Cricetulus griseus: one gene and its partner. Each later gene encodes a partner of the first gene's protein in a complex. Links are inferred from orthologs where the notes say so. Each region holds a gene or a part of one and is shown on either strand. Other genes may lie near its edges. The genes, in order: Smarcad1 and Trim28.

What was found.
Region 2: the proteins of Smarcad1 (region 1) and Trim28 are in contact, whole or in part, in a crystal structure (PDB 6H3A), measured with the Homo sapiens proteins. The link is inferred for Cricetulus griseus from reciprocal best matches to the Homo sapiens genes SMARCAD1 and TRIM28. Residues at the interface, in NP_001362784.1 of Homo sapiens: Asp156, Leu157, Ala160, Lys161, Gln163, Thr164, Glu167, Leu168, Phe169, Asp188, Gly189, Ala190, Ala192, Leu196, Ala201, Gly202, Gly203; in NP_005753.1 of Homo sapiens: Arg330, Trp333, Thr334, Lys337, Ile338, His341, Leu376, Lys377, Ile379, Val380, Asp381, Val383.

What each region holds. Positions count from the first base shown.
Region 1 is NC_048601.1:77,804,337-77,819,685, forward strand, and holds part of Smarcad1 (SWI/SNF-related matrix-associated actin-dependent regulator of chromatin subfamily A containing DEAD/H box 1), read right to left. Parts: intron 14,995-15,349; coding exon 14,904-14,994; intron 12,315-14,903; coding exon 12,215-12,314; intron 11,355-12,214; coding exon 11,295-11,354; intron 11,197-11,294; coding exon 11,121-11,196; intron 9,139-11,120; coding exon 9,003-9,138; intron 8,121-9,002; coding exon 7,983-8,120; intron 5,581-7,982; coding exon 5,485-5,580; intron 5,380-5,484; coding exon 5,262-5,379; intron 4,924-5,261; coding exon 4,802-4,923; intron 3,637-4,801; coding exon 3,448-3,636; intron 2,858-3,447; coding exon 2,739-2,857; intron 1,711-2,738; coding exon 1,528-1,710; intron 293-1,527; coding exon 183-292; intron 1-182. UniProt on the Homo sapiens protein: DNA helicase that possesses intrinsic ATP-dependent nucleosome-remodeling activity and is both required for DNA repair and heterochromatin organization.
Region 2 is NC_048602.1:25,606,937-25,621,615, forward strand, and holds the end of Trim28 (transcription intermediary factor 1-beta), read left to right. Parts: intron 1-5,008; coding exon 5,009-5,060; intron 5,061-5,175; coding exon 5,176-5,359; intron 5,360-6,411; coding exon 6,412-6,675; intron 6,676-6,771; coding exon 6,772-7,406; intron 7,407-7,833; coding exon 7,834-7,946; intron 7,947-8,166; coding exon 8,167-8,299; intron 8,300-10,720; coding exon 10,721-10,856; intron 10,857-10,936; coding exon 10,937-11,053; intron 11,054-11,192; coding exon 11,193-11,307; intron 11,308-11,406; coding exon 11,407-11,553; intron 11,554-11,660; coding exon 11,661-11,775; intron 11,776-11,863; coding exon 11,864-11,970; intron 11,971-12,064; coding exon 12,065-12,101; intron 12,102-12,184; coding exon 12,185-12,230; intron 12,231-12,316; coding exon 12,317-12,569; intron 12,570-12,659; coding exon 12,660-12,979; intron 12,980-13,064; coding exon 13,065-13,188; intron 13,189-13,284; coding exon 13,285-13,371; intron 13,372-13,453; coding exon 13,454-13,591; intron 13,592-13,725; coding exon 13,726-13,902; and 2 more. UniProt on the Homo sapiens protein: Nuclear corepressor for KRAB domain-containing zinc finger proteins (KRAB-ZFPs).

The DNA of each region.
Region 1 (15,349 bases):
AAAAACAGATGTTTTAAAAAATCAAGGTGTTTTTATCAATTCTGGCAAAAAAAAAAATCTTAGTTACTGTTGCAGTTGACATAAGTATGCATATCTTTTCCTACAAACCATAAACAATAGTTAAGAACTCTAGTAACCTATACTTTAATAAATATCAGCATTTCTACTTAAAAACAGCTTACCTTCATCTACTGTGGTCATATCTTGCTCTAGTTTCAACTTCTGTTGGTTAATTTTTAGCATGGACTCTTCAATGGTTCCTTGGCTTATTAATTTAATAACTAATACTTCTCTAAAAATAAACACATGACATGTCCACAGGTCACTAAAATCATTTAGATACCTATTTCTAGTAGTTCAAGAATAATAAGAAGAAAAGACTAGGCAGTGGTGGTTCACACCTTTAATTCTAGCACTCAGGAGGCAAAGGCAGCCGGATCTAAGTTTGAGGCCAGCCTGGTCTACAGAATGAGTTCCAGGACAGGTTCCAAAGCTACACAGAAAAACCCTGTCTTGAAAAACAAACAAACAAATGAACAGTAAGAAAAGTAAATGACTCTGGTGGTTAGAATAAGAATGTCCCCTATATGCTCATATATTTGAATGCTTAGTCACCAGAAGGGAGTGTCACTATTTGAAAGGATTAGAAGGGGTGTGGCCTTGTTGGAGGAAGTGTGTCACAGGGGTGGGTTTGGGATTTCAAAGACCCACAGTAGGCCAGTGTCTCTCTGCCTACATAGAACTTTCAACTACTGCTCCAGCACCATGTGCAGCATGCCTACTGCTATGTTCCCCACCATCATGACAATGGACTAAGCCTCTGAAACTGTAAGCAAGTTTAATGCTTTTAAATGCTTTCCTTTGTAAGAGTTGCCTCAGTCATGGTGTCTCTTCACAGCAATAGAAAGAACAGTGACTAACAAAGATTCATAATTAACCTCTTTTATTCAAACTACTTGAGACTGACATTTAGAAGTACTAAAATGTTCAGACATTCATCCTTTCCTACTGATTGAAGAAAACAGAAAAATATGTGTACTTTGAAAATTACTGATAAAACCTCAATGGAACTGGAGATAGAGTTTGGTAGAAGAGCATTTGTAGACAAGCATGATTATCTTAGCATACATTATTTTTCCTGTTTGTAGGCAGGTCTCTTTGGAGCCCAGGCTGACCTAGAACTTGCTCTTTTGTAGGGTCAGGCTGGCTGGCCTGAACCTTGTAGCAATCTGATTTAGCCTCTCAAGTGATGCAGTTACAGGTATGAACTACCACTACTGATAATACACATCTCATAACTGTAGAACTATTAGAGGTAGGAGGCTAATTTAATTACTAGAAAGTGAGTGAGTACATAGTATAGTACTTAATAGATAGCATCAATGTATGCTGATAGAAAAAATAGCAGCTCTACTTTGCTGTAAAAACTAAACCTAAAGGCAGGGTTATCCAGCACACCTTCTTTAGTAATCTGTATGAATCAAGCCAGTACTTGATGAAAACTAAATTTTAACTGACAATACTTACTTAGTCTGACCAACTCTATGGCACCTGTCTTCTGCTTGTTTGTCATTGTATGGATTGCAATCAATGTCATGAAGTATAACAACATTTGCTGAAGTCAGATTTATTCCTAATCCACCAGCTTTCGTTGACAAGAGAAATATAAAGATATCCATATCTGTATTAAACTCATCGATTAGATGAATCCTGTAAGACAAATGGATTAGGTTCAATTTCACTAAGTGAAAATATGTAAAACTGAAAACAATCACTTCACATGGAAAGTAAACCTAGGAGCTATACATACATGCTTGTCCCATTATACATACTTTCTTCTCTCCTATGTCTGAAGGACCCTCTCAATTCAATCCAACTATTCCATTTAATTAATTTTTGAAGTACTACTATATTTTTTGAGTACTTTGGATTTAGGTAAATAATACTTATCTACTCTAACTTTCTCAGCAATCTGACAGCTATTACCAGTAGATACCAATATACTGGATTAACTGCACGATCTAATTGTATCTTAGGATTTGTTTGTCATGACTTTGATCCTTAACACTAATATGGGGAGGGGAGAAGAGATCACCCTAGCTGATAAAAATAAACCAGGATACAAATGCCACTTAAACCGATTAGAAAATTTATTCTATTTTCTTCATTTTTTAAAAAAACCTGTAAGAACTGATCTTGGGGTTTGATTTCTTTTTGGCAGGGGTGGGCACAGGGGCTGTTTCATTAAGTACCCTAGGCTGGTCTCAAATGTTAGATGCTCCTGTCGAAAAAGAACTTTTTCTTTTAAAGTTTAATTAACCTTCAAAATATGAAAAATCTGACCTTAAAACAATGTTGGTTAAACAGTAAGATGCCTTAAAAGTGAATAGTTATTTTTAAAAGAGAAAAACTCAGGACTGGGGCTATGTCTTGGTTACAGAGTACTTGCCTAGCATACAAAAAGTCCTGGATTTAATCCCTAACACTGCAAAATAAAAATGATATAAAAGGGGAAATAATGAAAACCATACATATAATACTTAAGATTATATCTGTATACAATTGCAAAACCAAAAGAAAATATATTAAAGGAAAACAAGAGCCACCACCCACACCCCAAGTAATAATTTGAAATAACATAGCCTAAGATTTAAAACAAGAAATTTCTATGAAATGTTCCCTACATTTACGATGCTAGCAGATACACAAATGAGTGAGGTCTGGCAGCTAATACCAACCTTTCTGATATCTGAGTCTTTCCATCTAATCGGAGGTACCTATGTTGATGATGTTTTAAAAGAACCTCTAATATATCCAGCATCATGGTGAACTGGCTGAATAATACAACTCTATCACCCTGTGGAAATACATTTATGGATTAGAAACAGGAAAGTAAAACCATTACACCACCCAAAGCCTTGAGGTCTACAAAATAAGGAGTGCCTTTAAAGAGCCTTTTGGCAACTTTGCAGAATATTCCCCATGATAAAATTATTTAGTATTCATAAATCTTTTTAAAGGAAAAAAAATCAAATAATGTTACCAAGGATAAATTTATTTTACCTTATATATGGATAAATTACCTTAACTTTTGAACTTCAGAAGTTTAACTCTCAGTTTTTTTAAGTTAAATGCAGTAGATTAATCCTTTTCATAATACAACAGCATCACTCAATGAGATAAGCTACATAATCACTACTTGGAAATTAACATTGAAAATCCAAGCTATTACATACAAATTGCAGTACCATTTGACAAAATCTGTTACCTTCAAAATAATGATTTTTTTTTGAAGTTCTACAAAAAGAAGAACCTATTATACATAGACTAATCTTTAGGAGATAGAACTGACTAGGACAAAAACAAAGCCCAAGTCATTCTTCTGATACTTTCTTTTTCAGAAATTCAATTGGGCAGATACAAAGAGACAGTTATCCTTGTAAATACCTTCTGTTTCAATTCCGACAAGATGCATCCTAAGGCTCGGAATTTCCCAGAGTCTAAAATCAAATCCATGTCTAACTGGTAATTATTAATGTGTCGATACTGTTTACAAAGTACATGTAGTTCAAAGTCTGTCATAACTTCCATGTCTTCAAAGATCAGGTCGGGGTTAGCCTCACAATGTGTAGGTTCCTTTTTAAAATGAAACACACACACACCAAGATAATAATAATAATCAATTCATAATATGACAAGACTAATTTAATAAAAACATTTCACATTTGAATAAATACTCAAGCCAGCCAATATTTTAGTTCAACAGATTAAAGATTAGAAATGAGTATTAACTTGGAGTATCACAAAGAAAGGGAGATTTCTTAACTTTTATAGAGAGAGCATGTTCAAACACAGAGGAAAAACATCCTCTCCTATTTTGTTTGAACAGTTCTTATTGAGACAGTCATTACTAACATATAAAAGCACCCTTTTTGCCCTTACCATGTAAATAATTATTCATAATTTGGAATTAAAAATTGAACAGAAAATTCAAAATAATCTTGGCAAAGTTATCTAGGGGCTTACAGGAAACAAGAATAGTAGCATTATGAATGCTAACTAAAAACATATCACAGTATCATGGCCAGAGGGTCCATTATAGGAATTCTTTGTATTTTTGTGTTTAAAATTCTCCATAAGTTTAAAATAATTAGGACAATTCGTTGCATTCAATATAGATTTATCTACAAAAAGGAGCTAAGAAAGAATGAGTCAAAAATAAAGACTAAACTAACAATACAACAAAGGAAAAACAAACTGGAGAAAATAAACGGGAAACCTGTCACATTAGCCAGGAACAAATCTGAGGGATCTTTCAGTTTAGTTTTTTTTTTTTTTTTTTTAACTTAAAAATGTGTATTATGAAAGTCTAGCTGAGAAATTAGCATGAAAGGTCGGGGGCAGCTGGTAAATACTAGAATTTTTCGCTTGGTAGGTAGAGAGTGTTGTGTACTATACTTTTACTCAGCTCTATTCTACAGTGAGAAACCCTAAGAAAACAACACAGATAAATGGCCATGTTTGTGTTCCAACAAAAGAAGAGTTACTGGCCCAGTTTGCTGATGCTAGGCCTAATTATCTGTCCTTTCTCTTTTGTCCCTCAGATATCTTTGCCTATAAAATGTATTTCAGGATAGGGCTACAGAATAGATGATGAAGAGTTTGGGTACATGCGCGAGACCTGCAGTGGTTCAAAGATTAATATGCCCAATGTTAAAGCAGCCTGACTTTCATCATAAGATTATCCTAAATATTTCCCAGTGTTAGCAAAGCTCAGTGGAAGTATAGCATAAGCCCTTACCTTCAGCATTAGCTGAGACATCTCCTTCAGCTTTTCAGGTGTATAATACTGGCGATGTAATAAAGGGTGATTGGCCATTTTTCTCAATTGCATCATGACATTGCACATTTCTGTGTTTTTTTCTGTGGTCCAGAGAGTATACATTAAAAAAGTAATAGAGAGCTATTTTACTAAAGTCTACCTTAATTTTTAAGACTTAAAAATACATTCCAAGCCAGGCAGTGGTGGTGGTGGATGCTGTTAACCCCAGCAGTCAGGAAGGAGGGAGATATTTGTGAGTTCAAGACCAACCTGATCTATAGAGCAAGTCCTAGGACAGCCAGAGCTACCCAGAGAAACCCTGTCTTGAAAACAAAAATTCTTCAAAACCCAGCTAACTTTTCAAAAACAACAACCCCTAATTATCACATGCCCTAGTCTAAGATCATTCTTTTCCATAAGCTGTGAAGTCAAATGTTACCCAAGTTGTTAATGGACTTTTTCAATCTGTTGAAAAGGCCCCAGTAGAGCTGCTCCTGCTTCTCTGACATTGCACACAGCTCAATCTGATCCTTCTTAGGAGGCAGTTGCTTGAGAACCTTGGAAAGGAAAATCACTTCATGATTTTTCTAAGATTTTTTTTCTAATAACAATTCTTAAGAAAAAAAAAAACTGTAACCCAAAACACTGAGATAAAGAATTACCTCCTCTTTCACTCTTCTGAGAATAAACGGCTTTATGATTTGCTTTGCATGTGCTATTCTCTCCTTTTCGTATATGCTCTGTTCATCTGCTGGTTTCTAAGCAAAATAAAAATCCAACCCTTTAGAAGTCATGTCTTTAAATCATCCCAACAATCTCATTTTACAATATGCATAATCTGCAGACCCTCGATTCACAGATAGAAATGCACATCTGACCGTCTAACTCATGGCCTTGGATGACAGGTAGGTTCTTTACACCAAGCTATTGTCTGGGCCCAGAAAGTTCCTTTTAAATTCTGAGTTGTAATGTATTTGAAGCTCCATATACATTTTGAGGATTCCCATTATATTATCATGTATTTTACTGAAGTAATAAACCTGAATCAGACTAGCTGGTCTTTAGAACCCAACCATCTAATTCAGTCACTGACTGAATAAATCACATGGATTAAAAATGTGTACTCATGTTTAAAGAGAGAATGAGGAGGGGGGGCAACAACCTTTTTTGTAAAAAGAGGTCTTCCCCAATGTCAATAATTTGATACAAATCACAGAAATTAAAAACAGGGACAGTACCCATAAACTAGAGCTTTTATGAACTAGAAGAATAGTTCATAAAATCTCCTAGTCTATTTCTATAGTTGCACATCAAGTGGGAGCAATTAATCAGTAAAGACCAAAAAGACAGATATGGACAGTAGAACAATCCACAGATATCTTTTAAGAAAAAATACAAATCAAGTCTAACAGAAATAGTGTTTCAGTTCAGTGGAGAGGTACCAAGTGCTGATGGGCACTTGAATCAGTGGTCCAGAGATGAGACAGGTTTAAAGAACAGACAAGCTCACAGAGCCCTAGAAACCTAGCAATGGTTAGTGTACATCCCAGTGGACAGCAGATTAGTATGGTCCTCAGCCTTAAACAAGTGCACAGCTTTAAACAAGGCATTCACATCACCCTTTGTAAGGCTGACAGGCCACCCTGGAAGAAGGAACAGAAAAGAGTATAAGAATCAGATGATGGGAAAGAGAGCCATGAAATGCTGTCCTATGGGTAGAGCCTGGCCGTGGCACAGCAATGGAGACTGACTAGGGGAATGCATGAGACAGAATTGCTAAACACTTAATCACAGATGGGAGCAGGGATCATTAGGCCTGGCCTGGTCCAGAGGACTTAACAGTAGTCAGATATGCTAGGAAAATCAAAATCATTGTATTCAAGGTATAGCCACTGGTGAGTTACCTATGCTCAAATAGATGATAGATGTGATTTAAGCCCAGTGGCTTGCCAAGTGGGATTGGCACTTGGCTAGAAGAGGGTAGCAGATGGAAGTAGGAAGAAGTTAAGAGAGGGGTGGGGGATGAACACAACCAGAATGCATTATAATTATATATGAAATTATCAAATAATAAATTAATAATAGTAAAACAATAAGGTGGAGAACAAAAGAGGAAGGTATCGCATGTCAACCTCTTGCCCGAATGTACACATGCACATTGCTCATGTGGGCAAATAGGAAAATCAAAGGTGAAGGCCATCTTAAGGATCTCAGGGGTGGATGTTCTCAAGCCTCAAGTAAAATGCTCAAGAAAGAGACTGCTTAGATAAGGTCCCTCAGCTCAAAGAAGAGAACTGGAACCCCTTGAGTGCAGTCAACTCTCTTTCCACTGCAGCAGGTAGAGAACAAGAGCCATGGGATGAAGCAGTAAAATGGAGCTTGTTGCATAAAGCCTGGGCATCTTTGAATGTTCATATTGTCCTCTAAAATGTAACAATAATTATAGTTTCTGAGTCATAGACCATGAGCGATCCTTATGAAATAAATGATGAGTCTGAGAACACACTATTTTCTCTCTCATCAGACTCTACATGGTAGATCTAAAGGGAAGTCAGGAAGTCACTGGGTTAATAGTCCCTTCTGGGTAAGACCTCTACACTCTACTCCCAGAAGCATCTGGCTTCCCAAGAAAGTGACTATGCAGACAGGAAATCCTTGGGTATCTGAAAATCCTAAATTCTAAGACCAAGCCCTAGGTTCTAGCTTTGGAAAGCCCATTCATCCTCTCCAAGATGGGCAATCTTTCTAATTTAGGTATTAAGTACTAGTTTCCAAACTTTGTCTTTTAGTTGATAGTATTATACAAGTTTTGTTTTGATAATGGTATTTTGATAATGATAATTGTATAAGGTATTAAAATTAATGGAAGCCAAATAAAGCACATATTTAAAAAGGAAATATGCCTATAATGCAAGATATCTGAGCTCTTCAACCAATTTGAAACTATTACTCAGCTCAAAAAAGTCAAAACTCCTGAATACTGATAATAGAATTGATCATTATTTTTCTCCATACTGTGACTGATATGTTCACATATAGGTATACCAAGCACTTAATCTCACTTGATAGAGCATGTACCACGAAAACAGTAAGAGATGAAATGAGTGAAGAGCCTAGACCAACAGCTATACATTTGGGGAAAACATGCATGCATACTTACTGTTTTAGAAGAAAACATCCTCCGGATTTCACTTGTACTACTACTAAACATGTGTGGCATAACAAAATTCAATAATGACATGAGCTCTAACAGATTATTCTGCACAGGTGTACCCGTGAGCAATAGACGGTTATTTGCCTGAGAAAATGAAGACAAAACATAGATTAATTTTCTTTAAGTGCCTCTCGCTCCCTTCTTGTCTACCTTGTCCAATAAAGGCTATTAAAAAATTATAATCATCATTAAGAGTTTTACATTCTGTGATAGAAGAAAAGTTGAGATATTGATGTCAGTTATTATCATCTAATATACTTCAGGCAGAATGTGAAACTGCTGGTCACGTTTTGAAAGTAGTAACTTGCATCCTGAAATAACTTCTATGAAGTGATAAAAGATAAACTGTAATATATATATATATATATATATATATATATATATATATCCTGTCAAAATTGAAGCTCCTGTGCAACATAGTACTAAGAGTATTTCTGATGGGCGATGTCCTTCTGTATGCTATGAATATATGTTTCTCTTATTAGCCAGGCAGGAAGCACAGGTGGGACTACCAGACTAGGAAAACTCTGGGAAGAAGAAAGGCAGAGATTCACCAGAGAGACTCCATGTAGCTGTCAAAGAAGTAACATGCCTCGTGGCAATATATAGTTTAATAGAAATGGATTAACAATTAAGAGAGAACTAGCCTGTAAGAAGCCTGAGCCATTGGCCAAAAACTTTATAATTAATATAAACCTCTATGTGTTTATTTGGGACTAAATGGCTGTGGGACTGGGCATGAAATTCTGTCTTCATGTTTCTTTTTAATTTTTAAAGAATTACTCATGAAAGAAAAAAAACCATGACAGTGGCCCCAGGGCCCACCAAGAAGTAAAGACCCTTAAAGAGAAAGCATGCTGGCTCCTTAATATAAAACTAACTCATCCCCGCCCTCCCCGTGTGTGTGGGCACGAGCTACATTGGGAAAAGTCAATTTTATCATAACTATTTATTAAGCACACTTACATTAATTGTCATTAAGTGCTGGTAACGGATAGAGCCCATATTCTTCAGCATGTGGCCTTCATCAAAAATTGCATAATTCAGTTTCAACCGTCGAAAGAGACTTCTATCATCAGAACTGCTGATTGCACAATTATATCTATTGTCAAAAAAAAAATTACTTCACATTACACCATTTAGGAGTTTTTTCTTAAAAATTTATTTAATTACATCTATTTATTGTTTGTTATATAAGTACACGTGTGACTCCAAAGGGATAGGTGTAGAGGTCATGTTCTTTCCTTCCTCAGGTTGCCTGGTACAGGGATAATTGCCTATCCATTAAACTGTCTCACTGGTCTCTGAATTATTTTCTTTTGACATTTTGAATAGCTCTAACAAGACAACACTAAACAGTCAGGATGTCAAATATTGCTTATTTTTATGAATATTTACATACATGTAATCAAAGTATGCAATATTAACCAAAAGGAAATTTAAATGTTACAATATTCGACAACTGACACACTTGGGAAGCAGTCACTTTCAGAATAACTTAGAAATAATCGCCCAGCTAGCTCAGTCGGTACAGCATGAGACTCTTAATCTTAGGGTCGTGGATTCAAGCCACACTTGCCGGGCGGTGGTGGTGCACGCCTTTAATCCCAGCACTCGGGAGGCAGAGGCGCTTAAGCAGATCTCTGTAAGTTCTGAGACCAGCCTGATCTACAAGAGCTAGTTCCAGGACAGCCTCCAAAGCCATAGAGAAACCTTGTCTCGAAAAACCAAAAAAAGAAATAATCTAGCACTGCTGTATACTCTGCCCCATAAGTTTTTCTAAGAAGCAGAATACAACAAAAGGTGAAACAGAAGAGTAGTTCAAAGAACTACTGGTTAACACCCAAGAGTTCAAGACTATATATGGGTTCTGGATACTTAAGACAAAAATGACAAATCTTTTTAAAGGGGGTTGCAGAGATGCCTCAGCAGTTAAGAACACTTCTTGGTCTTGAACAGAGGACCTGGTTTCCATTCTTAGCATCTAACCTGGCAGCTCATAGTTGCATGTAACTACAGATTCAGGAGATCTGAAACCCTCTTTTGGCTTCTGCTGGCAACTAGAGGCAAGTGGTGCGTATAGACACACTTAGGCACATATGCTCATACATGAAATATCTTAAATCCTTAAAAAAAAAACTGAAATTTTGGACAAATTCTTTCTAATGGACTCCTATAGAAGGTGGCAGTAATAATAATTTAAATGTGTTATAAAAACATCAAGCTTTCCACCATGCATTCACACACAATAATTCCAACCACACAGTGATTATTTAAAGATATATTGAAACTGGGTGTGGTGCTAGCCTGACATCTCAGCTACTGCAGGGAGCAAGCAAAAGGATCCAGAGGTCAAGGAAATACTCAGCAGCTAAATGAACTTGAGACCAGCCACCTAAAGAGAACCCCCCAACTCAAAAAAAACAACAACAACAAAAACAAAAAAACAAAACAAAAAACAAAAACAACAACAACAACAACAACAAAAAAAAACAGAAGGAAACAAAGAGAAATAATGTAGTTATCATCCTTAGTCTGGCCTAATTCAGACTTTTCACTGGGAGCAGGAGACTTCATTATATTTATTATCAACACTTATTTGCAAGTTAGAAAAATAAACTACTGGTGTGGAACCTCAAATTTTAACTTAAGCTTAACTGAGTTTTGCTATGTTTTCAATTAAATGAACAAAAATCTTACCCCCATTTTTAGCCAACTAGCAAAACAAAACAAAAACACACACAAAAAAAGCTTTACACAATAAGTTGTGTAAATACCTTCTTTGTGAGCATAAATCACCCTATCACTTCAGTTGCACAGTCCCAGCATAAACTAACCTAGACATTACTATTACAAGATATTTTTCTAGCTGAGCATGGTAGCACATGCCTTTAATCTCAGTACTTGGGGGGCAGAGGCAGGACTTGATCTACAGAGTTCTAGTCCAGCCAGGACTATATAATGAGACCCTACCTAAAGATAAACAAATAAACAAACAAATAAATAAATAAATAAATGAAATTTTAAGAAAAGGAGAACTATACAAATTCTCTCCACCTCCTCCCAAATTTTCTTATTACTCACGTTGTAACAATTACATTGTAATCTTCATATTTATTATGGATGTTGAATCTAATTTGTTTACGTTCTTCTTGAGAGCCTAGAATTCAAAAATGAAGCATACTTTGATTGTATCAATTGTGTTTCATTATCTGTTTTAATTTTGAAGAACTTTATGATGAAAATCAAATGACTTACCATAGTAACAGAGCACATTTAATGTGGGGCACCATAAGTTAACTTCTCTTAGCCAGTTATCTACAAAACACAAGAGATTATTTGAATCTGCTATTATAGGTTTATTAAGTCAGTTTTGTTTTGAAATCAGCACTATGAATATCACCCCTCATGATCTGAAGTGGCATCAAGGTCAGAGGAAAGGAACAGAACACAACCTCATTTAAGTGAAAACCCAGCTCAGAGACAGTTTTTACTGTATACTTAAATGCAAAAAAACTCTCTCACCCCAACTTGTACATTGAATTAATTCAGAAAGAATAGATGAATGATTTAAGCAGGAATGAAATGACATACTTTTAGATTCAAATATTTATTTTAAAGTTGGGTAGGGTAGTAATACCAACTACCCAGGAACTGAGCCAGGAGGATTACCCAACTCCAAGAGTTCATGGAAGCATGGATAGACAGTATAGTAAGACCTCTTCTCAACTCCTACTTCCTAAAATTACACCATATTTTTTGTATACTTTCTGCATTTGGCTATATTTTTCTTCACACAGACTGTAGCCCAGGCTGACCTCAAACTCAATATACATATGAAGATGACTTTGAACCCTAGTTCTCCTGACTCTGCCTTCCAAGCACTTAAAATTACAGGTGTGTGCCATCACACCCAGCTCCGCTGATTCTACAAAAATACTTTCTAAGTATTATGAAATCAAAATAAATGACCACGTCAAATTCCTTGAAACCACTGTCAATGAACCCAAACTCACTCACCCTCATCCTTCCTCCCCACTCCACCCTCTCTATCTCACACACAGAGACGTTTACAAAACAGAGAAAACAGGCCAAAAAAATTGATATTCGTCACCACATATGCACACCAATACAAGACATCATGAAAAACACAAAGAGTTGTCCCCAGTATTACAAACCTATGGTCGAGGCTGGAACAACAATCAAATGAGGCCCTTTATTACCCTCCTGAAAAAGGTATGCCAGGAATGCAATGGCTTGAATGGTTTTTCCCAGGCCCTAAAATTAAAAGTTTAAAAGATAATATATGAAACTTTAAAATGAATGGAAATAAGTAAGTTAAAGTAACAAAGAAAAAGGAGCATTTCTGGGCAGGATTGATTTTTCCATTTCCCATAATCCACTTCTCGGAATTCCAACAAAGTTCATAGCCCTCAAATGAACTGAGTAAAATCTCCACAAATGATTCTATAATTTATTTCAATGAGCAGCATAGATAATGAATCTTAGCAGTTAGTTTATACACGACACACATTTAATAGGAAAGAATTTTGCATTGTATTAGAAGAAGACTAATTCTGCTTATTATAGGCACAAAACTTACTGTGACCTAGGTGGACTGAGAACTATATTTCATAACTAGATCAAAACATATACCTAACTCTATTATTATGCAATTGCACTCTTAAGGACAGATAAGAAGACCATGTTACATGGCAATTAAAAAAGAAAACAAACTGATAAAATAGTAGCAGATGAACCCCAGTAGCATCAGGTGTATTGAATGAGCCAGACAGAATGAACTGTATACAGTGTAGCCTGAGGTCAGCCTCTAATGACAGGTTTCAGAACTGAGGTATAGAGCTGGGCTTGGTGGATCACCTCTGTAACCTCAGCCACATGGGAGGCTGAGGCAGGCTGATCTAGGCCAGTTTAAGAACAAACATCTTGGGCTATAGTACAGAAAGTTCCAGACTGGCTTGGGAAATAGTATGAATCCCTACTTCAAAACAAAAACAAGCCAGGCCTTTAGTCCTAGCACTTGGGAGGCAGAGGCAGAGGCAGGCTGATCTATGTGAGTTTGAGACCAGCCTGGTCTACAAGAGCTAGTTACAAAGCCACAGAGAAACCCTGTCTTGAAAAAACAAAAAACAAAAAACAAAAAAAAACAAAAACAAAAAAACAAGGCACAACACAAAAGGTCCGTGAACAAGCACTTCAAGAGATCTAAGTAGCACCAACTCATTGTTATGAACTCAACGTATTCTTTCCTCAAAATACATATGCTGGTGTCCTAACATGCAATGATAACGGTATTTAGAGGACTGACCATAAGGAAGAGATTTAAGGTAAATGCAGTCTTGAAGGTGGTGTCCTAATCCACTCAAACTGATGTCCTTTTAAGAAGATAGAGACCTCAGGGATTGGCACAAAAAGGCAATGAAATCTGAGGACACAGAAACAATGTCATTGCTTGCAAGAAAAGAGGAGAGGCCTTTATTAAAAGAAGCCAAGCCTGCTACCACCTACATCTTGGTCTTCTATGGGAAACAAACTTATATGGTATGATCATGGTATTTTTGTTCTGGCAAACTTAAATTTAATGCAACTTACAAATTTGTGCTTTATAGATAACAAAATTAACTTCACATATTCTTTTTATATATTTATTTTTTCCGATTTTTCAAGACAGGGTTTCTCTGTGTAACTTTGAAGCCTCTCCTGGCACTCACTCTGTAGACCAGGCTGGTTTCGAATTCACAGAGATCGCCTGCCTGTTTCCTGAGTGCTGGGATTAAAGATGTGTGCCAACACCACCTGGCTTTTTGATAGCAAATATAATCTGGGTATAAAAACTATATACTTTTATTAATATTAGTTCTGAAAGATTATGTCATCTGATGGTCCATGAAAGGCAAGGCTGGCATCCAAAGCCCAGGTCTGATTCCCAAGTTCATTTATACAACTGCCATGCTCTTTACAACTGATTTTTGTAAGTTTGAAATGCCTCAGACATTACTTACTTTTACACTGAATAATAGCATCTTTAGTAAGTATAGAGTGACAGTTTAAATATGCAGAAATAGCAGTATTATGTTTGTCCATTTTTTAGACTCCAGTAGACAACGTGATTTAATGTATCCAATGCTTATTCACTGGACCCAACCTTTTCTTTGTTTGCTTTACTTTTTGTGGTAGGGTTTGCATGTGAGCCAGGCTGCCCTCAAACTTGAAATCCTCCACCCTTTGTCTCCCATGTACTGGGGCAACATAGCCAGCATATAACTCATGTTCAACAAATGCTTTTTTACAAGTACAGCTGAAGGAAGGTGGAGGACACATCAGATTAACAGTTAAGTTCATATATGACAATACCTAAACTAATGGTTATAACAAACTTCATGAGCTTATCCCAAAAACCAATTGTAATTTGGGGAAAAATGACTCAGAGAGACATTTAATAAAATTAAAATGATACTGAAATGATTTTGTTGATATTGCCATACAATATTTACTTTGATATAAAATAATAACCAGAAAGATAAACTTCTTTCAGTTGTGGAGGAGTGAGGTTTAAAACTAAAGCAATAAAAACAAAGAAAGATAAGAGAAAGTGTAAGATACTGAAATAAGAGCAGCAAAAACTGTAATGTCCAATGGAGGACTAGGGATGTAGCTCAATGGTAGGATGCTTGCCTAGCATGCCCTGGGTTTGATAGCTAGCGCCACAAAAACAACCAGCCAACCAAAGAACAACAAAAACCACAAGAAAGCAAACAACTCCAAGAGATGATGCCATGTTTCAAATGACAACATATCTTTTAATGACATGTTGAATTAAAAATTCTATTAATAGTATAAACTCACCATTTCATCTGCCAAGATTCCATTAAGTCCATGTTTATGCACCAGGGCCAGCCAATTCAAACCAACCTTCTGATAGGGCTTGAGTGATAAACTGACAAAGAAACAACAAATATTACAGATTTTTATTTTTGCTAATAGTAATTTGCTAATTTTCTATACTAATATAGAAATTTTCTATAATATATAATTTTGATATTTTGGTTATACACACAAAAAATACCCAGAACTATCTAGATGAGCCTTACCTTTTAACCTGACTCTTACAAGCTATGTACATTTTAAGAAAGTACATCTAGAACATAATACATAACAATTTTTAAAATCTCAAAAATGTACTCAAAGTTTGACATTTATTTCCTTTGGCAGTACAAATAATATAAAACATTTCTGTATTTGCTCACATCATAATATCACCAAGTTACTGAATTCCATAAATGATCAGAATA
Region 2 (14,679 bases), on another chromosome or scaffold:
GGTGCATGCCTTTAATCCCAGCACTCAGGAGGCAGAGGCAGGAGGATCTCTGTGAGTTCGAGGCCAGCCTGGCCTCCAGAGCGAGTGCCAGAATAGGCTCTAAAGCTACACAGAGAAACCCTGTCTGGAAAAAAAAAAAGGAACCGAATTAGAAAAAGCCCACATTTAATGGATATAGCTCTCCCAGATGGCCTTCCGGTCCCCCAGAGAGGAGAGGGGAAAGGGAGACCAGAAAAACCATGAGTCTGGTGTCTGGGGGGCATTTTAAATACCTTGTGGGAGTGGTCGTGCTGGCTAATTTTCATGCCAACATTCTGTAGGCTAGGGTCATTTGGGAATAGGGAACCTTAGTTGAGAAACTGTGCCCACCAGACTGGCCTGTGGGAAAACCTTGTTTTGTTTTTGAGGTCTCTATAAGGTAACTCTGGCTGTCCTAGAACTTGCTATGTAGACCAGACTGGCCTCTGCTTGGTGAGTATTGGGATTAAAGGTGTGCACTGCCACACCCAGCCCATGGGACTTTTTTTTTTTCCGAGACAGGGTTTCTCACAGAGATCTGCCTGCCTCTGCCTCCAGAGTGCTGGGACTAAAGAGGTGCCCCACCACCGCCTGGCCCATGGGACATTTTTAAAATTACTGATTGAGGTGAGACAGTTTAGGTGGGTGGTTTTGTTCCTAGGTAGGTAGGTGGTCCTGGCTGTCTAAGAAAGTGCATGCCTTTAATCCAACACTCAGGAAGAAGGCTAATTTGACCTATGGCATTGGCTTTCACAGTCTTCATAGATTTTCTCCTTTCTATCCATCATGTTTGAATTTCGAGGTGGGTTTGTTACCCACTTTTTTCTGTCTAAAAAAAGTGCATAAGATTCTTCACCCTACACCCCTTAAAAAAAAATTTAAGAATTCAGGGGCTGGAGAGATGACTCAGTGGTTACGAACACTGACTGCTCTTTCAGAGGTCCCAGGTTCAATCCCCAGCAGCATTCACATGGTGGCCCACAGCTGTCTGTAACCCCAGTTCCAGGACACCCTCACCCAAGGCACATAAAAATAAAATGTATTTTAAAAAATTAAAACAAGGTTTCATTGTGGGAAGGGCTTTTCTGGAACAAAGGAAAGGCAAATAATCAATGCCTATGCTCACATGTCCTAACCCTGTGAGTTGTAGCTGGCTTGTATAATGCTGAAGGCTTTGGTGTCCTGTCCAAGAGTCTGTCTGTGGCCAGGCGGTGGTGGCGCACGCCTTTAATCCCAGCACTTGGGAGGCAGAGGCAGAGGCAGGTGGATCTCTGTGAGTTTGAGACCAGCCTGGTCTATAAGCGCTAGTTCCAGGACAGCCTCCAAAGTCACAGGGAAACCCTGTCTGGAAACCCCCCCCCCAAAAAAAAAATTCCAGCACTGGGGAGGATGAAGCAGGAGGACTGAGGCCAGCCTGGTCTACAGAGCTCCAAAGCTATACAGAGAGACCTCATATTGAGAAAAAAAAAAAGTCTGTTCAAGTATCGACTATTATTATGTAAAACCTAGGCTGACCTTGAACTTCCAATCTCTTCTGTCTACTTTGGGAATATGGGATTACAGGCATTAGTCCCCACCCTAGTTTCTTCATTTTTTTTCTTTTGTTGTTGCTATTTACTTTTATTTTATGTGCATTGGTGTTTTGCCAAGGATGTCGGGTCCCCTGAGACTGGAATTCCAGACAGTTGTGAGCTGCCGTGTGGGTGCTGAGAATTGAGCCCTGGTCCTCTGGAAGAGCAGTCAGTGCTCTTAAACACTGAGCCATCTCTCCAGATCTCTCCTCTCCCCAACCCTGCACCCCAGTTTTTTATGGGTTTGGAACCCAAGACTTTGTGCATGCTTGGTAAGCATACTGCCAACGGAGTATACATATCCTTAGTTCCTCGTTTCTTCATCCTTCTTTTTGCTGTACTGGGGACTGAATCCAGGGACTTGAACAGGCTTAGCAAACACTGCTGTACCTCTGGGCTATTTCCTCAGTCAGTCCTTTGGCTATTTTCTTCTTTTTCTATCATTCTTTGGCTATTCACTATGCTTCCTTCTGTCATCACCATGTCTCCAATTACTGACTTTCCCATATATATTGTTTTGTTTTTGGTTTTTTTTTGTTTTTTTTTGGTTTTTCGAGACAGGGTTTCTCTGTGGCTTTGGAGACTGTCCTGGAACTAGCTCTTGTAGACCAGGCTGGTCTCGAACTCACAGACATCTGCCTGCCTCTGCCTCCCAAGTGCTGGGATTAAAGGCATGTGCCACCAACACCCAGCCAAACATATATATATATGTATAATATATATGCTATATTATATATTTTTATGGTGGAAACTCCACCCAAGGCTCCTCCCCTATCTCCAAACCCTGCTGCATTTCATAAAGCCTGCCAAATGATGACCCTCCCCCAGAGAAGCTCAAGACCCCTCCCACAGGGTATTTAAACTGCCCCCTCCCCCCCAAAAAAAGACTTGTGGGTTTTCAGGTCTCCCTTCCCCTATCTCCCCTCTGGGGGACTGGTCAGAGATCTGGGAGCGTTGTATCCATTAAATGTGGGCTTTTTCTAATTCGGTTTGATTTGGTCTGGTTTGGATTGCTGCATCAGTGGAGAGGCTTATTGGGGTGTAGAAACTTTTCATATATTTATATCCGGAGCTAATGGAAGAGCAAGAGCATCTGGAGAACCATAATTAATACCATGATTAATATGAAGTTTAAACTGGTGACGGCCGGGGCTGGAGAGATGGCTCATTTGTTAAGAGCCCTGACTGTTCTTCCAGAGGACCCGGGTTCAATTCCCAGCACCCACATGGCAGTTTACAGCTGACAGCTGTCTGTAAACCCAGTTCCAGGGGATCTGATGCCTTCACACCAATACATATAAAATAAAAAGTATTACAACAAAACAAAACAAAACTGGTTACAGCCAAGAGTAGTGGTTAAGGATATCCTTAATTCCAGAACTCGGGAAGCAGAGGCAAGCTGATGCAATGTCCTTAATTTCAGACTCAGGAAGCAGAGGCAAGCTGATCTCTGCGAGTTATAGGCCAGCCTGATCTGCAAAGGGAGTTTCAGGACAGCCAGGGCTGTGTAGTGAGATCCTGTCTGGTCATGGTGATGGGGTCGGATGGGATGTTTCAATGCTAGGCATGTTGGCATTCCCCTGTAAGCCCAGCTACTCAGGAGGCTGAGGCAGGGGAACTCAGATAATAGCTTGACAGGCCACACAGGGAGTTTAAGACTGGCTTGGGGATTGGGCAATAGAGTAATCACTGCCTCAAATTAAAGCAAGCAAACAAAAAAGGCTGGGGATATAAGGCAGTCAGTGAGAGGTTCAGCACTTGCCTACAGTCCCCCATTAAGTTAGGGGGTTTGCTCAGTGGTGGAATGCTGACCTCACTTGCAGGAAGCCCTGGGCTTAATTCTCAGCACAATACACCCTCATCCATCAAAATGTATATATCTTAGTTTCTGTAACATCTAAGCGTTTATTGCTTAGGAAAAGGAATCTTTTTTTTTTTTTTTTTTTTTTTTTGAGACAGGGTTTCTCTGTGTAGCTTTGGAGCCTATCCTGACACTCACTCTGGAGACCAGGCTAACCTCAAACTCACAGAGATCTGCCTGCCTCTGCCTCTTGTTTGCTGGGATTAAAGGCATGCACCACCACTGCCCAGCAATTTCAGTATTCTTAAACAGGGAGATTATTTTTAATCTGAGTTTATCTGGTGTGTTCTAAATACATATATTGACATTTCTTGAACTTTTATTTTTGATTTTATGTATTTGGATATTTTGTTTGCTTGTTTTTTGAGACAGGGGTTCTCTGTTGTTTTGGAGCCTATCCTGGCATTCACTCTGTAGACCAGGCTGGCCTCGAACTCACAAAGATCTGCCTGCCTCTGCCTTCCGAGTGTTAGGATTAAAGGCATGCACCACCAACGCCTGGTGATTTTTCTTTCTTTTTTTTTTAATTATAATTTTATGTCCCTGGTGCTGGAGGAAGTGAGAAGAGGGCATTGGATCCCTTGGAACTGGAGTTACCGATGGCTGTGGGATACCACGCGGGTGCTTGGAATTGAACCTCTGATGCTCAGCAAGAGTTGCAAATGCTCTTAATCCTTTTGTTTGGGGCAGGGCCTCATTCTGTAGACCAGGCCAATCAGAACTCACTAAATTAACAATGTGCTTTTTTTGTCGCTGTTGTGGCAGACTATGTATCCCAACTTGACTTCACTATTTAGCACAGGCTGTCCTCGAATTCATCCTGTTCTGCCTCTGCCTCTACAGGGCTAGGATCACAGGCACCTGCCAAAGCACTGAGCTACATGCAACCCGTGTCTGTCCTGCCATGGGTCTTAGCACCGGTTTCTAGCTAGCTACAGGGCTTTTTTCATTTTGGGGGGACGGTGTCTGATAGTTACTTCTGTACTTTCTACCAATACCTATTAAAATTTTAAGTTGCACAGGGTGCGGTAATGCTCCGCATTAATCCCAGCTCTCAGGAGGCAGAGGCAGGCGGATCTCTGTGAAAATCGAGGCCAGCCTGGTCCACAGAGTGAGTTCCAGCACAGCCAGGGCTACACAGAGAAACCCTGTTTTGAAAAAGGAAAAGATTAAATTGCATTGGTTGTGGTGTGTGTATGTGTGTGTGTGTGGGGGGGGGGTGTGTGGTGAGTGCACACGCATGCACAGGAACCTAGGACAACCTGAGGGAGGGAGTTGGTTCTTTCCTTCCACTTTGTGGAAGGATTAATGATTAAACTAATAGGGTCAGGGTGGGTTGCAAGCGCCTCTGTTCGCTGAGCCATTTCCTCGGCCTCCATCGCCCCTCTCCCGCCGCTCACCCCCATCCCGTGCCCTGGTTCTGCTGGGCTGGTGCTGCAACCTAGGGCTCTGCACAGGACAGGCGAGCAAGCGTTCTGCCCCTCTTTCAAACCCCCAGGCCCCACCATTATCTACTTTGATCTTGCGTCTGGTACCCTAATATCTGCTCCGGGCCTAGGTAGCCTTAGTTCACAGGCCCCTTACCCTGGAGATCCCGGGGCCAGCTATGGGTGGGGCTGTGAAATACTCCCCAAATACTTCTACGGGACGCCCACACTTCCCCCCATCCCCCCCCCCGTGCTTGCTTCTCCAGCCTGCAGATTATGCCCTCCTTTTTGGAGGTAGGAAGTGAGAGTCCAGGCGCTGGGTCTGGTGGGGGCGTGGCCCGCTGGAGGGTGAGCGCTGAGCTGCGGGAGGAAGGAACAAAGGCTGGGGCGGGGACAAAGCCCCGGGCCCCCAGACGGATTGGGAACAAAGGCCACACCCGGGACAGTGGCGGGACACTCACTCCTCGCCTCTCCATTGCCACGTGGGGGACACCTGGTTCCCCAGCGAGGTGGCAGCTTCCTGCTGTTTAGAACCCTGGACCTGCCAGCGTGCAGCAGTCCAGACCTAGGGTGCACACCGAGGGTGCTCATGGCACTACACGAGGCGGCAGGGGCGATCGCCCTCAGCACGGGGCTGGGGCGGGAAGGGGGGGGGACAGATCGCCTTCCCCACACTGATCCTGGGACTCTTAATAGCCACGCAACCCTGCTGATCTCTTCAGATCAGATTCATCTTGGACCCTGCTCCTCTCCCGGGACAGGTCCCGATTGCCTCTCTCTCGGGGTCCCCGTCCTGCCCCTCACATGAGATCCGCCACTCCCATCCAACTTTTATTCCTCCGCTGCGCTAAACGTTCGGCTCGCCCACCCTCCCGGCCCGCTTTTAAACCCCAGGCAAATCAGGAGAGCAGATGGCTAACACGAGAAGGGGTGATGGGGGTGGGCAGAGTCCCCTCGACAGAACGGCTTCTCCCTAGTCCTTTGTGATCCATCTACGGGGTCCACTTGGGCGAACTTTCTGCTTCCCGAGTTTTAACAATAAAAAAAAAAAAAAAAAGTTTGCGTTGAGACCGCCTCCTCCGCGTTCCGGCGGGAACTTCCTTCCTGCCGGAGACCCCGCGCGCCCCCTCCACCTGGGGCTCAGTCTCTCTCTCTCTCTCGGTGCTCCGCCGCGGCCCCGCCCACTCGGGAATCGTCCCGCCTCTCCCCGACGCCGATTGGCCCGCCGGAGGCTGCAGACGTCGCCCCGCCTGCCGAGGGGGCGTGGCTTCGAGGTGCAGCTCCGCACGACCCGCGCGTTTCATCCGCCTCGAGCCTGGGAGGCGTCGTCGCGCGCCCTGCTCTCTCTCTCGATCCCCGGCGGATTCCCGCACGCGCGGGGGAGGGAGGGGCCGTCGCTCTTTTTTCTTTTTATTTCTTTTTTTTTTTTTTTGGGGGGGGGAGGAAGAGGCGGGCGGCCGGGCGCCGCCGCGAGCCGCAGGCCCGGGCACACCGGCGCGTGCGTAATCGCCGCTAGCCCCGCCCTCTCGCTCAGCCCGCCCGCGCCCCGCCCCGCCCGCCCGGGGTGGCGGCGCCCAGCGCGCGTGCGCGGCGGCGTCGGGCGCCAGATATTTCTGTCCCGCCTCCGGGCCGCGGCTCTTTCTGCGAGCGGCGCGCGGTCGGGGACGGTCCTTTCGCGAGTCGCGAGCCGAGGAGCGCGAGGTCCCCGGCGGCGGGCCGAGGCGGAGGAGGAGGAGGAGGCGGAGGAGGGGGGCGGCGCCGTCGTCGTCGTCGTCCTCGTCGTCCGCAAGGGAGCGAGGCCGGGTAGCCAGCCGCGGTTTTTTTTTTTTTTTTGGTTTTTGTTTTTTTTTTGTCTTTTTTTTCCTTTCTATTTTTGTGTCGCCTGCGTCCCCAGAGGCGCGCGCCGCGCGGGCGTCGGCCCCGGGAAGACGCGTGGCGGCGGCGGCGGCGGCGGCTCGGCGGCAGCGCAGGCTCGGCCCGGCCCCGGCCGTTGGCGGCGAGCGCTCGTGCGCCTGCGCGGCGGCCTCCGCGCCCCTCCTCCCCCGGGCGGGCCCCCCCTCCCTCCGCCCCCCGCCCCCCCCCACCCCACCCCCCACCCCCCGGGGCGGGAGAATGGCGGCCTCGGCGGCTGCAGCAGCCTCGGCGGCCGGCCGCGCGGCCACGGCGACCTCCGGCAGCCCCGGCTCGGCGAGGGCCGGCGGTGGGCGGCGACAAGCGCCCCGCCGCCCTTCTGCGGCCACGGACGGCCACGGCGACGGCGACGGCGGCGGCGGCGGCCTCTGCAGCGGCGGCGGCGGCGGCGTCGCCCGCGGGGCGGTGGCGAGGCGCAGGAGCTCCTGGAGCACTGCGGCGTGTGCCGCGAGCGCCTGCGGCCCGAGCGGGAGCCTCGGCTGCTGCCCTGCCTGCATTCGGCCTGCAGCGCGTGCCTCGGCCCCGCCGCACCCGCCGCGGCGGCGGCGAATAGTTCCGGGGATGGCGGCGGCGGCGCGGCGGCAGCAGCGGCAGCATCAGCAGCGGGCGACGGCGCTAGTGAGTGGGGCTGGGTGGCCGGGGGACCCCTCCCCCCTCCTCCTCCTCCTCCCCCCTCCCTGCAGCCCTGCGCCTGTGCGAGAGTCTGGGGGGCTCCCCCCCCACGTAGGGTAGCGGAGGGGAGGGTTGGGTTAGCCCCCGGTGGCTTTAGGCTGGGGGTGGGGGGGTGGGACACACGAGCTCTTGGCCTCTGCGCTGATGTGCGCGTGGCCCCCCTGGTCCGCGTCCGCGAAGATGCAGAGTGTGGTAGGAGATGGGAAAGTAGCGCCAGGGCAGGGAGAAGGGTAGATTTGTGTCTGTCTGTGGTTCCAGCCTTCTTGGGGGGTGGGGGGTGGGGGGAGGCACGCAGGTCACAGCCTTCTTGGAGGGGGGGGGGAGGCACGCAGGTCCGGAGAATGTCCGGCGTTCACGCCCTTGTGTCCCGCAGTGGTGGATTGTCCAGTGTGCAAGCAGCAGTGCTACTCCAAAGACATCGTGGAGAATTATTTCATGCGTGATAGCGGCAGTAAGGCTTCCTCCGATTCACAGGATGCTAATCAGGTGCGTTGTCCTGGGGGAGAGAAAGGGGTTGTTGCGTCCTTTTTCTGGAGCCTCACCATCCTCAGCTTGCTTGGCTGTTTTCGGGATCTAACCCCAGCTTCCCGGAGGGCAGTACAGATTTGAGGGCATGGTTATAGGAAGTTTAGGTTGTGTGTTCTGGGAAGTAAGTGGCGTGTCTGCTGCGCGGTTCTGCCGATTCTAACCCTCCTCTCTTTCACAGTGCTGTACTAGCTGTGAAGATAATGCCCCAGCCACTAGCTATTGTGTGGAGTGCTCTGAGCCACTGTGTGAGACCTGTGTGGAGGCCCACCAGCGGGTGAAGTATACCAAGGACCACACTGTGCGCTCCACAGGTAGGTGAAAAATTGGAGGCTGTTGGAGCTACCCTCTTCTTTCATTTGCCCAAAATGGCTGCTTGCTGGATGGTTTTCCAGGGACCTGACACAACAGAAAAAGTTCCTGGGTTCAGTAATCTGGGGTTCTAGATGGGAAGGGAAAGGTCCTAGCCAGGCAGTGTGTGTAGGGTGTCTTAAGTATGTTGCAGTCAATACTAAGGATTGAACTAATACCATCTTGGGAAACTCAGACAGTGAGTGAGTGGGTCCTGGTGGTAGACACCTTATCGTAAGCAGCCAGTGAAAGCAAGATGGAAATGACTTTTTGGATTTGAATGTTCCCTGTCTGGCTTCTGGCTTTAGATTGCTGGAAAAGTAAGGGCTCTGGATCAGGCAGGGTTTCTTTTATTTTTTCATTAAAGATTTATTTATTATGTATACAGTGTTCTGCCTGCAGCATATATTCATGCAGGTCAGAAGAGGGCACCAGATATTACAGATGGCTGTGAGCCACCATGTGGTTGCTGGGAATTGAACTCAGGACCTCTAGAAAGAACAGCAAGTGCTCTTAACCTCAGAGCCATCTCTCCAGCCCCCAGGAAGGGTTTCTTGACCAACCATCTTGACAGGTTGGTAAGGCTTTGGTCCATCAGTAAGGGTGAGTCCTGGAATGATTTCCAGTGAGCCTTAAGTATGGTACCTTCCCTGAAGACTCATGGTCAGATAATCTAGGATTTTAAATTTGTATGGTGGCTTGGGTGTGAAATAGATTTTGATTTTGGGGTGGGTGGGTGGTTTGGGCCAGACAGATGCCTTAGTGGGGAGCAACTTTTTGGTGTGATAGTTGTATTGATTCCCACCCCAGAGGACAGGGTGCTGGTGGTAGTGGAAGGTAGTGTGGGGGTCTGAGAAGCCAGGAGGCATAGGAAGGAATCTGTAGGTTCTGTCAGGACAGAACAGGGGTACAGCACTGGGTAATGATGACTGGCCTGTGTTCTGGTACGTAGTTTGGGCTTGGTTAGTATAGTCTGGATTGGACTAGAATTGGGAGGAAGGGGACTGACAAGTCTATTAGTTTCTGTTTTGGTGAGATATTGTCTTATTATAGCCCAGGCTGGCCTTGGACTCTATTTGTTTATGTTTTTTGAAACAGGGTTTCTCTGGCTTTGGAGGCTTTCCTAGAACTAGCTCTTGTATACCAGGCTGGTCCTGAATTCACAGAGATCTGCCTGCCTCTGCCTCCCAGTGCTGGGATTAAAGGTGTACACCACCGCCCAGCGGCCTTGGACTCTTGATGTTCCTTCCATAGCTCCAAAATTGCTTGGATTAAGCCTGGCGGTGGTGGTGCACACATCTGATTCACAGAGGCAGGGTAGCTTCAAGGGTAGCTTGGTCTACAGAGTGAGTTCAGGACAGCCAAGGCCAGACAGAAACTCTTTCTACAAAAACAAAAGGCACTTGCCAGTATGCATGGTTTTACCCCAACCCCTTTTTTTTTCCCCCAAGACAAACGTTTTTTTCTGTCAACAGCCTTGGCATCAACTTAGATACCTACCTTTGCCTCTTGTGCTCTGATTAAAGGTGTTGCTACACCCAGCATTTCTGTATTTTGAGAAAAGGTCTACAGAGCCATTCCTATCCTTTAACCCACCATGTAGACCAGGCTGGCCTTCACACTTAACAGAGATCCTATTGGGCCTCATCAGACCTTTTTGGGAAGATAGGTTAGTATGTAGTCCTGGGTGGTCTGTAATTCAGGTTGATCTCAATCAGACTCTGTCTTTGACTTCTGTCTGCCTTTGTCTTCTGAGTCCTGGGATTATGTCCAGCCTCTCTTGTTTTATGCTTTTTTTTTTTTTTTTTTTTGGATGGGGTGGGTCTGAGGCAAGGTTTCTCTGTGGCTTTGGAGGCTGTCCTGGAACTAGCTCTTGTAGACCAGGCTGGTCTCGAACTCCTTCTGCCTCCCGAGTGCTGGGAGTAAAGGTGTGCGCCACCACCACACCCGGCCTCTCTCTTCTTTTCAAGATGATCAGTCTCAGCTACAGAGACAAGTCTGGCTTTGGAGTCACTATCTGTAGCTTACCTTGAACTTGTGGTCATCTTTGAGTTTCCTGGGTGCTGGTAATGTAATTAGCTTTTTAATGGGGACGTACTGGTGTTTTGCTGTCTGGGTGTCACTAGTCTAAGCCATCACGATCTTGTTTATTTGGGGATGGTTTGTTAGAAAGACAGATAACCAGGAAATAGTACGGAGGTTCTTCACAAGCTCTCTGTATCCAATATTGTGGATGGTGTGGTCATCTGGGAGACCATAATGCTTCGTTGTTGATGTAGGTCTTCTCCAGAGGTGGCCAGGGTTGTAGGAGGAGCTGGAAATGGATGTGGGTTATGTCTGCTCTTGAGTTGGAGATGGTTAAGGGCATGATTCCTCCTTCGCAGGGCCTGCTAAGACTCCAGATGGTGAGCGCACAGTCTATTGTAGCGTCCACAAGCACGAACCCCTTGTGCTCTTCTGTGAGAGCTGTGACACTCTGACCTGCCGGGACTGCCAGCTCAACGCTCACAAGGACCATCAGTGAGTCCAAAGTCACAGTGGGTAGGTGGGTGCCACTGCTTGCAAGTTGAGCCTGCAGGCTCACTTTTTTGTGGTTTCAGGTACCAGTTTTTGGAAGATGCAGTGCGGAACCAGCGTAAACTCTTGGCCTCTCTGGTGAAGCGCCTGGGGGACAAACATGCCACACTGCAGAAGAACACCAAGGAGGTTCGCAGCTCGTAAGTGCGGGTGCCGGGGCTATTGGGGTGCCGGGGCTATTGGGGTGCCGGGGCTATTGGGGTGCCGGGGCTATTGGGGTGCCGGGGCTATTGGGGTCCTGGGGCAAGGCTTTCTGGCTTGACTTGTCGTGTGCATTAGTATCCGCCAGGTCTCTGACGTGCAGAAGCGTGTGCAGGTCGATGTCAAGATGGCCATTCTGCAGATCATGAAGGAGCTGAACAAACGGGGCCGGGTTCTGGTCAATGATGCCCAGGTGAAGCTCATGTTCCTGGCATGACCCCATCCTGGGTGGAGAATGGTCCTAATTTCACTGCCTTGCCTTCTTGCTAACCCTGTTCTCCTTGACCTGCAGAAAGTGACAGAGGGGCAGCAGGAGCGCCTGGAGCGCCAGCACTGGACCATGACCAAAATCCAGAAGCATCAGGAACACATTTTGCGATTTGCTTCTTGGGCTCTGGAGAGTGATAACAATACAGCCCTCTTGCTGTCTAAGAAGCTGGTGTGTAGTGTGGGCTTCATTGAGCCAGGTGGCCCTCGGCACCTTTGGGACCCTCTAAGTTGCCAAGTGGGCTCATGTGCTGCCTTTCTGCCCCTTTGCCCCATCAGATCTATTTCCAGCTGCACCGCGCTCTCAAAATGATTGTGGACCCCGTGGAACCTCATGGGGAGATGAAGTTTCAGTGGGATCTCAATGCCTGGACCAAGAGTGCGGAAGCTTTTGGTAGGTAGTGTGGGCTTTGCTTTTGCCTGACCTGGGGAGCATCTTGGGCAGTACTGCTTTCGTCTATTGAGAATTTTCTCTTGTTTAGGTAAGATCGTGGCTGAGCGTCCTGGTACAAACTCCACAGGTCCTGGGCCCATGGCTCCTCCAAGAGCGCCAGGGCCCCTAAGCAAGCAAGGCTCTGGCAGCAGCCAGGTGCGCTGGGGAGAGAAATCAGGAAAGGGGTGAGGGCCATAGGGTGCCGTGGAGTACTTGCCCCACTGATGAGCATTCTCTGTTCTTTCTCTAGCCCATGGAAGTACAAGAGGGCTATGGCTTTGGGTCGGGTAAGTAGTTTGCCTGGGGAATTGGAAGGGCTTGGTGAGTACCCTGTGTCTGTCTTTTCTACCAACCCTTTGTCTTCCCACAGATGATCCATACTCCAGCGCAGAGCCGCATGTGTCTGGCATGAAGCGGTGAGTGTGGCAGCCCGTTGGGTGTAGTACTTTAGCGGTGTGGTAGAGAGAGACTCGTAGGATCTCATAACATGCTATACTTACAGGTCCCGCTCTGGTGAGGGGGAGGTAAGTGGCCTCATGCGGAAGGTGCCGCGTGTGAGCCTTGAACGTCTGGATCTGGATCTCACTGCTGATAGCCAGCCACCAGTCTTCAAGGTCTTTCCTGGCAGCACCACTGAGGACTACAATCTGATTGTTATTGAGCGTGGTGCTGCTGCAGCAGCTGCTGGTCAGACTGGAACAGTGCCTCCAGGAGCTCCTGGTGCCCTACCGTTGCCTGGCATGGCTATTGTCAAGGTGAGTCTGTCCTAAAATGCAGAACAGTGGTTAGAGAGGGACATCTGTCGCCCCAGATTTGGATATAATAACACTCAGCCTGTTTTATAGGAAGAAGAGACAGAAGCTGCTATTGGAGCTCCACCTGCTGCCACTGAGGGTCCTGAGACCAAGCCCGTATTGATGGCTCTGGCTGAAGGCCCTGGTGCTGAGGGACCCCGTCTGGCTTCACCTAGTGGCAGTACCAGCTCAGGCCTGGAAGTGGTGGCTCCTGAGGGTACCTCAGCCCCTGTAGGTGGACCAGGTGTCCTGGATGACAGTGCCACTATCTGTCGTGTCTGCCAGAAGCCAGGTGACCTGGTCATGTGCAACCAGTGCGAGTTTTGCTTTCACCTGGATTGCCACCTCCCTGCCCTGCAGGACGTGCCAGGGTACGTGTGAGGGTGGGCAGCGTCAGGTGATCGGTCACGGAGGGCTAGTTGTCATGATTGACATCTCTGCTACTCTTCACCATAGGGAGGAGTGGAGTTGCTCACTCTGCCATGTGCTCCCTGACCTAAAGGAAGAAGATGGAAGCCTTAGCCTGGATGGAGCAGATAGCACTGGTGTGGTAGCCAAGCTCTCACCAGTCAACCAGAGGGTGAGGGCTGAATGCATAGGAGTTGGTCGGGTGGCCCAGTAGCTGAAGCCCTCATCCATGCTATAACTCTTGACGTCTCTTGTACTGCCTGCCTAGAAATGTGAGCGTGTTCTTCTGGCCCTCTTCTGCCACGAACCCTGTCGTCCCTTGCACCAGCTGGCTACTGATTCTACATTCTCCATGGTGAGTTCCATCCAGAACAGAAGAGTGTGGGTTATGCCAAGAGGTGGTGGGTGTTCCTTATGCCCATGTTTTCTCCCTGCAGGAGCAGCCTGGTGGTACCCTAGACCTAACCCTGATACGTGCTCGTCTCCAAGAGAAGCTGTCACCCCCTTATAGTTCTCCCCAGGAGTTTGCCCAAGACGTGGGCCGCATGTTCAAGCAGTTCAACAAGCTGACTGAGGTGGGCCTGCAGCTGAAGCCGGGAGGGCGGGGCGGGGCGGGTGCCAGGACTCACCACTGCACTCTAATTGGGCAGGGCGGGCAGGGCTGGCGGGGTGGGAGCCAGGACTCACCACTGCACTCTAATTGGCCCAGGACAAGGCAGATGTGCAGTCCATCATCGGCCTGCAGCGCTTCTTTGAGACGCGCATGAATGACGCCTTTGGTGACACCAAGTTTTCTGCTGTGCTGGTAGAACCGCCACCGCTGAACCTTCCCAGTGCTAGCCTAAGTTCTCAGGAGCTGGCTGGTGGTCCTGGCGATGGTCCTTGAAGCTGGAGCTCTTGTGGTCAGCCCAGTCAAGCTCTGGTCTTTGTCCTTCCACCCCGTTTCCCCTCCTCCTTTGGTGGCTTGACTCCTGCTCTTGGTGGCCCTGTCCTTCAGTCCCTCCTCACAAAATGGTTTTTACTTCTGTGGATTTAATAAAAACTTCACCGAGTCGTTCATGCCTCAGCTGTTTGGGGACTATATTCCCGAGGATTTAGGCTCTCACTCCCTGCATTAGTCACCATATCAAAGACTTCACTTCCCAGGGAAGGATTTGTACACTACCTAGTGAGACTCTGGTTGAGGTCTCAAGTGTACCATCTGCCTCCCAGTGGCCACATAGATAGGAGCTATCAGCTTGCACTAAAAAGATGGGTTGTGCCGGGTGTTGGTGGCGCACGCCTTTAATCCCAGCACTCAGGAGGCAGAGGCAAGCGGATCTGTGATTTTGAGTTCAAAGCTCCACAGAGAAACTCTTGGCTCAAAAAACCAAAAAAAAAAAAAAAAAAGGGTTGTGTGCTGAGTTGAGATTCTAGAGTTTCTCTATTGGTCTCCCCTCCCCCCACAATACAGGGTCTGGCTTTCCTGGGACTCTGTAAAACCATGCTGTCCTTGAACTCAGATCTGCCTGCCTGTTGAGAGTTGGGATTAAAAGTTTGTACCATCAACACCTGGCAAGGATTTGTTCCTTCTTGCTTAGGATCCTGACACCAGTTTGTTTTTGACCTATGACTTCCCTGTACCTAATTGGTTCTCAGAACCCTTTGTATTAAGCAAGGACTT